Linked DNA regions of Canis lupus familiaris. Each later gene encodes a partner of the first gene's protein in a complex. Links are inferred from orthologs where the notes say so. Each region holds a gene or a part of one and is shown on either strand. Other genes may lie near its edges. The genes, in order: EIF3I and EIF3K.

Region 1 (3,465 bases):
GGAGGTGGCTGTCACCCTACTCACCAGGGTCCCCAGTCCCGAATCCCAGAAGGCATAATCTGAGTCTGGAAACTCACTCCCTAGAGATGCCTGTGTAAAGTAAGGACTTGAACCCACTCCTTGTGGTCTGGGCTCAACCAGCCAAATGAGCAACGGAAGCTCCGGAACTCACTCTACATCCCGAATCCCTTGGCCATCTGGCCCTCTGTGGAGCCCCAGAGCCTGCGACTGTGGCAAGGTAACCCCCAATCCCACCTTCTCCCCTGTGGAGCTAGCCCCTCTGCCCAGCTTCATCTGTCCTCCTCCACAGGCCTGTTTCTGCACTGGATCTGCCTGCCTGAACCTTCAGAGGTGGCATGGGAGAAGGTGTGGCAAATAGTGACAGATAAGGAGAAAACAGAGGGCTGTCAGCCGACAGTTACAACCTCTGAGCTCCAACATTAAGTGCTGGCTCCTTGGATGATGGCTGTAATGTTCCTGAGACACCCCTCACCCCACAGGGTCCCTCAGCACCATTGGACCTTGGATCAGGGCGTCTGCAGCCCAGCCTAATCCAAAACATACAGAAGCTCCAGGTTTGACGCATCTTATAGTGTCAGGAGAAGGTCTAAATAATAAAGATCTCCACGACTAGTATACATTTTCTGGGGTGTCACTAAGAAGGGAAATGAATGAAATAGTCCCCACAAAATTTCTGACCAGAAACCACTTATTTCCAAACTAATTTACTTCTCAGAGTCCAAAACTTTGTGAGCCCTGGCCCAGAAATTTCCCCTGGCCCTGATGGAGATCCAAGCTTCTTAAGCCTCAAACTCAAATTCAAAGTACTGTGGGTCGAAGTAGTGGATGCGGACATAACCATCTTCACCGCCGCTGCTATAGCTGGAGAGGGAGAGAAAGTCAGGGACCAGTCAGGTGTCCCCTCTGGGGGAAGGCTGGCCCCAGTGGAGGAGGGAGGGAGAGGGAGGGCAGGGCACGGGAAAGGGCCAGAGGCCAGATCTGGGCTGAGCTCAGTTTCCTGCACGAAGCCCTCCCTACCTCTTGCCATCGGGATGGAAGGCAACGCTGTTGATGGGTCCGAAGTGACCCTTGACTCTTCCAAACTCTTCTTCAAAGGCCAAGTGGAAAAACCTGGAAGGGGATGGTGGGAAGGGACAAGTCACTCTCCATCTCCTCTCAAAACACAATGCATGTACCACTCCCCAAAGGGAAAGCAAAAAGTGGGGAAATGGGGATGAGGGGGAATGAATGTGAACAAAATAAGAGGAGGCAAAGACTGGACCCAAGTGTCTGCCTGCATACCCAGCTAACATTTCCTTACGGTGTGCTGGGCAACGAATAGTAACTCATGCATTTGATCTGCACAATTTTATAAGGTAAGAATATTATCGTTGTCTCCATTTACAGTGGAGGAAACCAGGCACAGATAAATAGGAGGAAGGGTCCAGGACCTCAGAGTGAGCCCAAGGTCATGCTCATAACTGCTACATTATACACATGTCCTAGGAAGGCCACAAATCTGGGTGTACCGCCTAGCAGGCAAGGAAATAAGGGAAGTCTCCACAAGTATATGGTTTGTGTCCATCATGAAAGACACTCTGTGGGGTTTCAATGTGAAAGAGCCCCCTCCCTCTTTACCTGGCTTCAAACTTGCCAATCCTGGTGGAGGTGGTGGTTACATCCATGGCTTCCTGACCACCACCCAGCACCACCTGAAGGGAAAAAGAAACTCTAGACAGCCCAAAAGGGCTGCCAAGTCCATCTTCCGTGTTTCACCCCTAGCCCCATCAGACTGAGAGGATGCTAAGGGCAGGACCCAAACAGCTACTTCAGCCACCTCCTACCCTGCCCCCTCGGGCTTTCCAAGAATTCAGCCTTCTCATTGCTCTGGGAATCTCCTCTCTGCCTGACACTATTTCCCAAAGAGTTCCTATCTCAATTGCTTGGTGAACACTTAGATCTTGGAAGTATTCTGAGGCTGCAGCAGGAAGCCTGGGTGGGGTTCCCTTACATGGTCATAGTTGGGAGAGAGGGCAGCTGAGTTGACTGGACGTTCTGTCCGGAAAGTCTTCTGGTGTTCAAGAGTTGTGGAGTCAAAGAGCTAGAAAGAGAAGATGGGGGGGGAGGGGAATCTATAAAAGGAGTTTTCTTGAGGGAAAGTTGGTCAAGTTGAAAGCTTTGTAGGGGAGTAGGAGCAGCCCCACCAGACTCCTTGCCCAGGCTCACCTTAGCTGTGTTGTCCTTGGAAGCAGTGACAAACATGGTCATGTCCCTGGATAACTGGATATCATTGATCTGCCGGGAGTGCTCCTTAACATTCACCAGTACTTCTCCAGACTGGGGAAGGCAGAAGAGTGAGGCTCTGGGTGGCCTGAACTCCACCAGCACCACTGCTCCACCGGGGTTGTTCTATACTGCTCCCTGTCTGGGCTGGGGGGGCGGGGCGGGGGGGGAGGCCTGGGTCGGGTGGGCCTAAGTATCCCCTGAACCAACATTCACCTCCGCCACTGCCCCCAAGCCCACATCCTAAACCTCACCCATGCGTACACATTTCATAAACACAGCTAGTTCATCTAGGAAAACACATGCTCATGATGACAAATCTATGGACCTATTAACGAATCAGGACATTACAATGGTAGAGACATCCTTCACTCACTCCTTCTTTTAACAAATAGTCACTGAATTGTGTGAATAGTCACATTTGCCAAATATTGTGCTACATAATGAATGAAGTCAGCTGACTTCATCCTCACAACCATCCTACGAAGTGGGTATTTTATTTTATTTTATTTATTTTTTTATTTTATTTATTTATTTATTTTTTAATTTTTTAAAATTTATTTATGATAGTCACAGAGAGAGAGAGAGAGAGAGGCAGAGACATAGGCAGAGGGAGAAGCAGGCTCCATGCACCGGGAGCCCGACGTGGGATTCGATCCCGGGTCTCCAGGATCGCGCCTGGGCCAAAGGCAGGCGCCAAACCGCTGCGCCACCCAGGGTTCCCGAAGTGGGTATTTTAAAGGACATTTTCTTTTTTCTTTTTTCCTTTTTTAGGATTTTATTTATTTATTTGACAGAGAGATAGAGCACAAGCAGAGGGAGCAGCAGGCAAAGGGAGAAACAGGCTCCTTGCTTGGCCGGGAGGGGAGTTCAATCCCAGGACCTTCGGATCATGACCTGAGCTGAAGGCAGAGGCTTAACTGACTGAGCCACCCAGGCTCACCCCTTAAAGGACATTTTCAAAGGAAGAAAGTAAGGTTCATAGGGATGATATGACTCGCTGGAGGTCCTGCCACATGTAAGATGTAGAGAGCCTGTGCTCACCCCCTTCCCAGCTAGTTTGGAGCCACAGTCCACCAGTACTGCTGCATGTCTAGCTTTTTTTTAGATCTTTCAAAGGGTCATTTCATCTCCTTACTTCCCTTCCCATTCAGCAACCTGCTAGCCTGTAGAGTACAAAGG
Region 2 (4,578 bases), on another chromosome or scaffold:
GTAGGCCACGATGTTGGCATGCCGGCAAGTTTTCAAGATGAGGATTTCCTTCTGAAGTGTGGAAACATCATCGTCTGTGAGGAGGAACAGGAAAGAAAAGGCCACTGTGGGAAGGGAGTGTGGGGGAGGCGATCCCAGTGTCCGGAGAGGAGGCATAGGGGTGAGGGGAAGGAGCTCCTGTGTCCTCACCAGGCTCCATCTTCACCATCTTCACTGCCACCAGGTCCCCCGTCACCTTGTCTCGAGCCTTGTAAAGGGGAAGTTGGCAGTCAGGCAGGCTCCATTCGCCTGAGTTCCTCCTCAGCATCCCTGAGCCAAAGCCAGGGACTGGGATCCTCTATCATCCCCTTCCTTTCTTGGGCCCCATCCCAATGGCTCGCTGGTTTGAGGGTGATGGAGAAGGAGGGGTGTCCTCACCTTGAAGACTTCTCCATAGGTGCCGCCACCCAGCCGCTGCAGGAGGTCATAGTGGTCCCGGGGGTCTCGATTAAAAATGTCGGGGTCCACGAGGTCCATCCCTGGGCGCTGGAGCTGGGCCTGCGCCCAGGGGCCAGCAGGGCCTCAGGGCTCGAGTGTGGCACCTCCCTCCCTCCCCACACGTCCTGCGCCCTGCACCCGCCTAGCCTTGCCTCCGCTGGCTGTGGCCTCCCCCCTCCCCACTCTCGCTTCCTGCCCCAGCACAGGGCTGTGCAGCCGGCTCCACCCCCTATCCCCTGGGCCCTGAGAGCCTGTGAGGGGTAGCTTGCCTTGGGACCCAGGGGACCCCCCCCCCCACCTCCAGGACCCGGGGCTGAATGTAAACCAGATGCAAACTATCTTATGATCTGGGGGGGTTGCTCTGGCACCCCCTCCCGCGTTCTGGGCGGTGGCTAAAAACCACAGTTGAAACTCTGCTGAGTGCTTGAGGGTTTGGCCACCATCCGGAGATGGAAGGCCTGCACAGGAGTGGCCATGCAGTGTACGTGCCCGTTCTCCGGGGTACATGTACACACCCACCTGTGTACCCACTGTGCACAGACCAGTAGCCGGACACATGCCTGGAAAGCCGTGTGCATACATGCGGTTGTACCCAGAGCACATACCCCCACGGATGTGACACATGCTTGTGCATTCACGCCTAAAGTGTGCAGAATGGTACACATGTAACTCATGAGAGCACACACAGGGGTCTCTCCCCTTCTGCAAGACTGGAACCTAAAGGGGCCTGAGCGCCCTGCGGCAGGGTCCAGGAGCCCTTCACCTCAGCCCCTGCACGGCAGGGCACCACAGCTTTCGGGGTGCCCACCTCTGGGGCTGGGGCGGAGGTCGGGGAGAGGTTCAGGGCTCCAGAGCTCAGGATCTTGCCCAAGAGGCCGAGGCCTGGGGCAAAGGGGACCTCAGAGAGCACCTCCCTGGGGAATCTGGCCAGGGCCCAAACGAAGAGATACGGCGCGCATATCGGCACATTTTTGTGAGTTCACGACCGCGCGCAACACGCCGCGTGCAGGACGTTAGGGAGCCGTGTCCCCGCGGGCGAGCTCGCGCTCACGTCCCGGGGGCTAGAGCTCGGCGCGCGGGGCCCGGGAAAAGCCTCGCCCCGCCTCCTCGCCCGGAGACGGCGCCTGCGCACTGGGCTACATTAAGCCTTTTCTCACGCTGTCGGTCCAGCTCGGGGGGCGCTTGTGCGCACGCGCCAAATGCGCCCGCCGGGAAGAAAGTCACGTGGCGGCCGCCGCAGGCGCCGCGGAGGAGACAACAACGTAGTTTCCGTTTCCGCCACCTCTTCCTCTTCCGGTCCTCGAGGACGCCGTACCGGCTGGGTCTCCTGCTCCCGCCCGGGTGTGGGAGGCGACGTTCGTCATGGCGATGTTTGAGCAGATGAGAGCGAACGTGGGCAAGTTGCTCAAGGGTATCGACAGGTCTGAGCCCGGCCGGAGGGAGCGCTTGCGGCCGCGCGGCGTGGTGGGCGGGATTTTGTAGAGACCGCAAGGGGTGGTCGGGTCCTAACTTGGCCCGGGGGAGGCTTTCCCGCTTCTGGAGGAGTGTGAGGAAACGGCCCCACAGGGGCCTACGGGCAGGAGACGGCCCTGCCTACCTCGCAGTCCTCGGCTTTTTCATTGCTTTAAGGTCTCCAACTGCTTCTCCGCACTCTGCTCCTCAGCCTCTCACTGCGTGTGTCATGCCTTTTCATCTCCTTTTTTCTTACCTCTCATGCCATTGCTTCAGCACACGGCACTGAAATCTATTCCATCAGCGCTGGGCAGTGCTGGGGAACCAGAGGTGACCAAGACAGCCCCGGGCCATGCTTTCATGGGGGTTCCCAGTTCAGAGTCCATACTAACCGGGCAATAGGCAGTGATAGTCAGCAATCATCGGGGCTGGGGTTGGGGAAGCCGAGCAGGAGAGGATGGGGATAAACCAGGATAGGGGCCTGAGGAGGGGGGAAGGGGATGAGTGGCAGAGATGTCCAGGAGGCCTGGTGTACAGGTTGTGATTACTGATTGGTGGAGGGATCGGGAGGACATCTGGGAAAGACCCAGGGCTCTGATGGAGGTCAGAGCTCAGCTTAGGTGTGTAATGTGGATAAGTGTTATTAGAGGTTATGGAGCTGATTCAAGACTTTGATACAGGGGCAGCCCCGGTGGCGCAGCGGTTTAGCGCCGCCTGTAGCCCAGGGCGTGATCCTGGAGACCCCAGATCGAGTCCCGCATCGGGCTTCCTGCATGGAGCCCGCTTCTCCCTCTGCCTGTGTCTCTGCCTCTCTCTCTCTCTCTGAATGAATGAATGAATGAATAAATAAATAAATCTTTAAAAAAAAAAGACTTTGATACAGTTGCAGGTTACAGTGGCCTTCTCCTCTCTACCCAGAGTGACTGGCCTCAGCTCCTGTTTCTTCTCTGCTCACCCATCTTGATTCTTCTGTAGGTACAATCCTGAGAATCTGGCCACCCTGGAGCGGTATGTGGAAACACAGGCCAAGGAGAATGCCTACGATCTGGAAGCCAACCTGGCTGTCCTGAAGCTGTGAGTCTCTGCCTTCACCCCCACCTGCGTGACAGCGTAGCCCGCAGCATGCCACTCTCAACATTGGATGAGGCCAGAGTTGGGGGGTAGTCTTCAGGATGTGACTTCTCTTGGTGTGTAAGACAAGGAAGCCAAGACAGTTGGGGCAGAAGGAGAGGTAGTTTTTTAAAAAATTAATTGCAGGTTGCACGAATAGGTTGGTACAAAACACAAAAATATGGCTAAATAAGTATAAGTGCAAACCTATGTGGACATCACACTTATTACAAAATTGAGTGTTGTCAGGTTCCCAGGCTCTTTGCCTTGTGTGCTTTCTGCCAGCCACCTCACCCCTGCCCTGGTAACCACTTTTATGCTCTCATGATCTGGCTTCATGTGAGTTGACCACACAAGCATTCATCCTGATTAACTTGGCTTAGGTTTGCCTGTGTTGGATATGACATAAATAGTATGTGATGTGAGCTTTTCTGCATCTGGCATCTTCTGCTTAGCACCAGGGTTGTGAGATGGATCCATTTTTTCCTGCAGCTGCAATTTGTCATCATTTTAGTATAGTGCTTCACTGTGTTTTAATTACCCTTTCTCCTGCTGATGGGCATTTGCATCCTTTCCTCACAGCAGTTAGGTAATTTTTATACATTGTCTCAGTTTTGGTGTCTGTAAAGGAGAGATAAGAACACTTTGTATTTGTGAGGTTGTTAAGATTGTTACTGGTGTAACTGCTGCTTAATGAGCACTCATCTGTGGTAGCTACTGCGCTGTAAGCTTTGTATGTATTAACTCAGATGTCGAACTGTCTTTGTGAAGTAGATAGGGTTGTTGTTGTCCCTTCTAGGAGGGGACTGATACACAGAGAATTTAAAAGAACTAGTTCAAGGTCACTTGTCAGGGAAGTTTGAACCCAAGCAGTCTGGCTCCAGAACCTCAACCACTGCTTTAGACTATACGTAGGTATTGGTTTGTTTGTGACCACTTAACAGCATCTGCCTTACAGAATGGTTGAGAGGATTAACTGTTCCCATCCACAAGCAGGAAAGTGGGTCAGGGAGGTTAAGGTCACAGAGCCAGAGTGCTGTGTTCGGGGTTGGAGCCCAGGCACGTGCCAATTCCTGAGCTCTGAGCCACACAGCACTGGGTATCTGGTGAGGCCCAGGGACCTGAAGAGGTCTGGGCCTCTTGCTCTGTCTCTTGTTCCCCTTCTCAGGTACCAGTTCAACCCAGCCTTCTTTCAAACTACGGTCACCGCCCAGATCCTGCTAAAGGCCCTCACCAATCTGCCCCACACCGACTTCACACTGTGCAAGTGCATGATCGATCAGGCACATGTATCCTTCCAGCTTATCCGTCTGGCCGGGTGTGTAGGACGGGGTGGGGGCAAGGTAGATGAACTCCCCGGGAAGTGGTCTGTGGGTTCAGCCACAAACTCCTGGATTTGGTGCAGTACTGGGTGGGACATTTTGGTGGCTGCAACAGACCTGGCCCCTGCCCTCACAGGGCTCACAGTCCAGTAGCAGAGATGAGTCCTCTGTCAGTGACAGCCTGCAGTAGTCAGGGGTTGGGGTTTAGGGAAGCCAG

Evidence for each region.
Region 2: EIF3I (region 1) and EIF3K share a complex: the UniProt entries of both Homo sapiens proteins name them as parts of the eukaryotic translation initiation factor 3 (eIF-3) complex. The link is inferred for Canis lupus familiaris from reciprocal best matches to the Homo sapiens genes EIF3I and EIF3K.

Annotation. Positions count from the first base shown.
Region 1 is NC_049223.1:68,375,038-68,378,502, forward strand, and holds the end of EIF3I (eukaryotic translation initiation factor 3 subunit I), read right to left. Parts: intron 2,338-3,465; coding exon 2,227-2,337; intron 2,102-2,226; coding exon 2,012-2,101; intron 1,713-2,011; coding exon 1,639-1,712; intron 1,132-1,638; coding exon 1,039-1,131; intron 883-1,038; coding exon 801-882; 3' UTR 710-800; downstream 1-709. UniProt on the Homo sapiens protein: Component of the eukaryotic translation initiation factor 3 (eIF-3) complex, which is required for several steps in the initiation of protein synthesis.
Region 2 is NC_049222.1:115,272,281-115,276,858, reverse strand, and holds the start of EIF3K (eukaryotic translation initiation factor 3 subunit K), read left to right. Parts: upstream 1-1,740; 5' UTR 1,741-1,839; coding exon 1,840-1,898; intron 1,899-2,904; coding exon 2,905-3,003; intron 3,004-4,207; coding exon 4,208-4,328; intron 4,329-4,578. Other genes in the region: MAP4K1 (mitogen-activated protein kinase kinase kinase kinase 1), read right to left, coding at 1-74, 190-247, 418-516. UniProt on the Homo sapiens protein: Component of the eukaryotic translation initiation factor 3 (eIF-3) complex, which is required for several steps in the initiation of protein synthesis.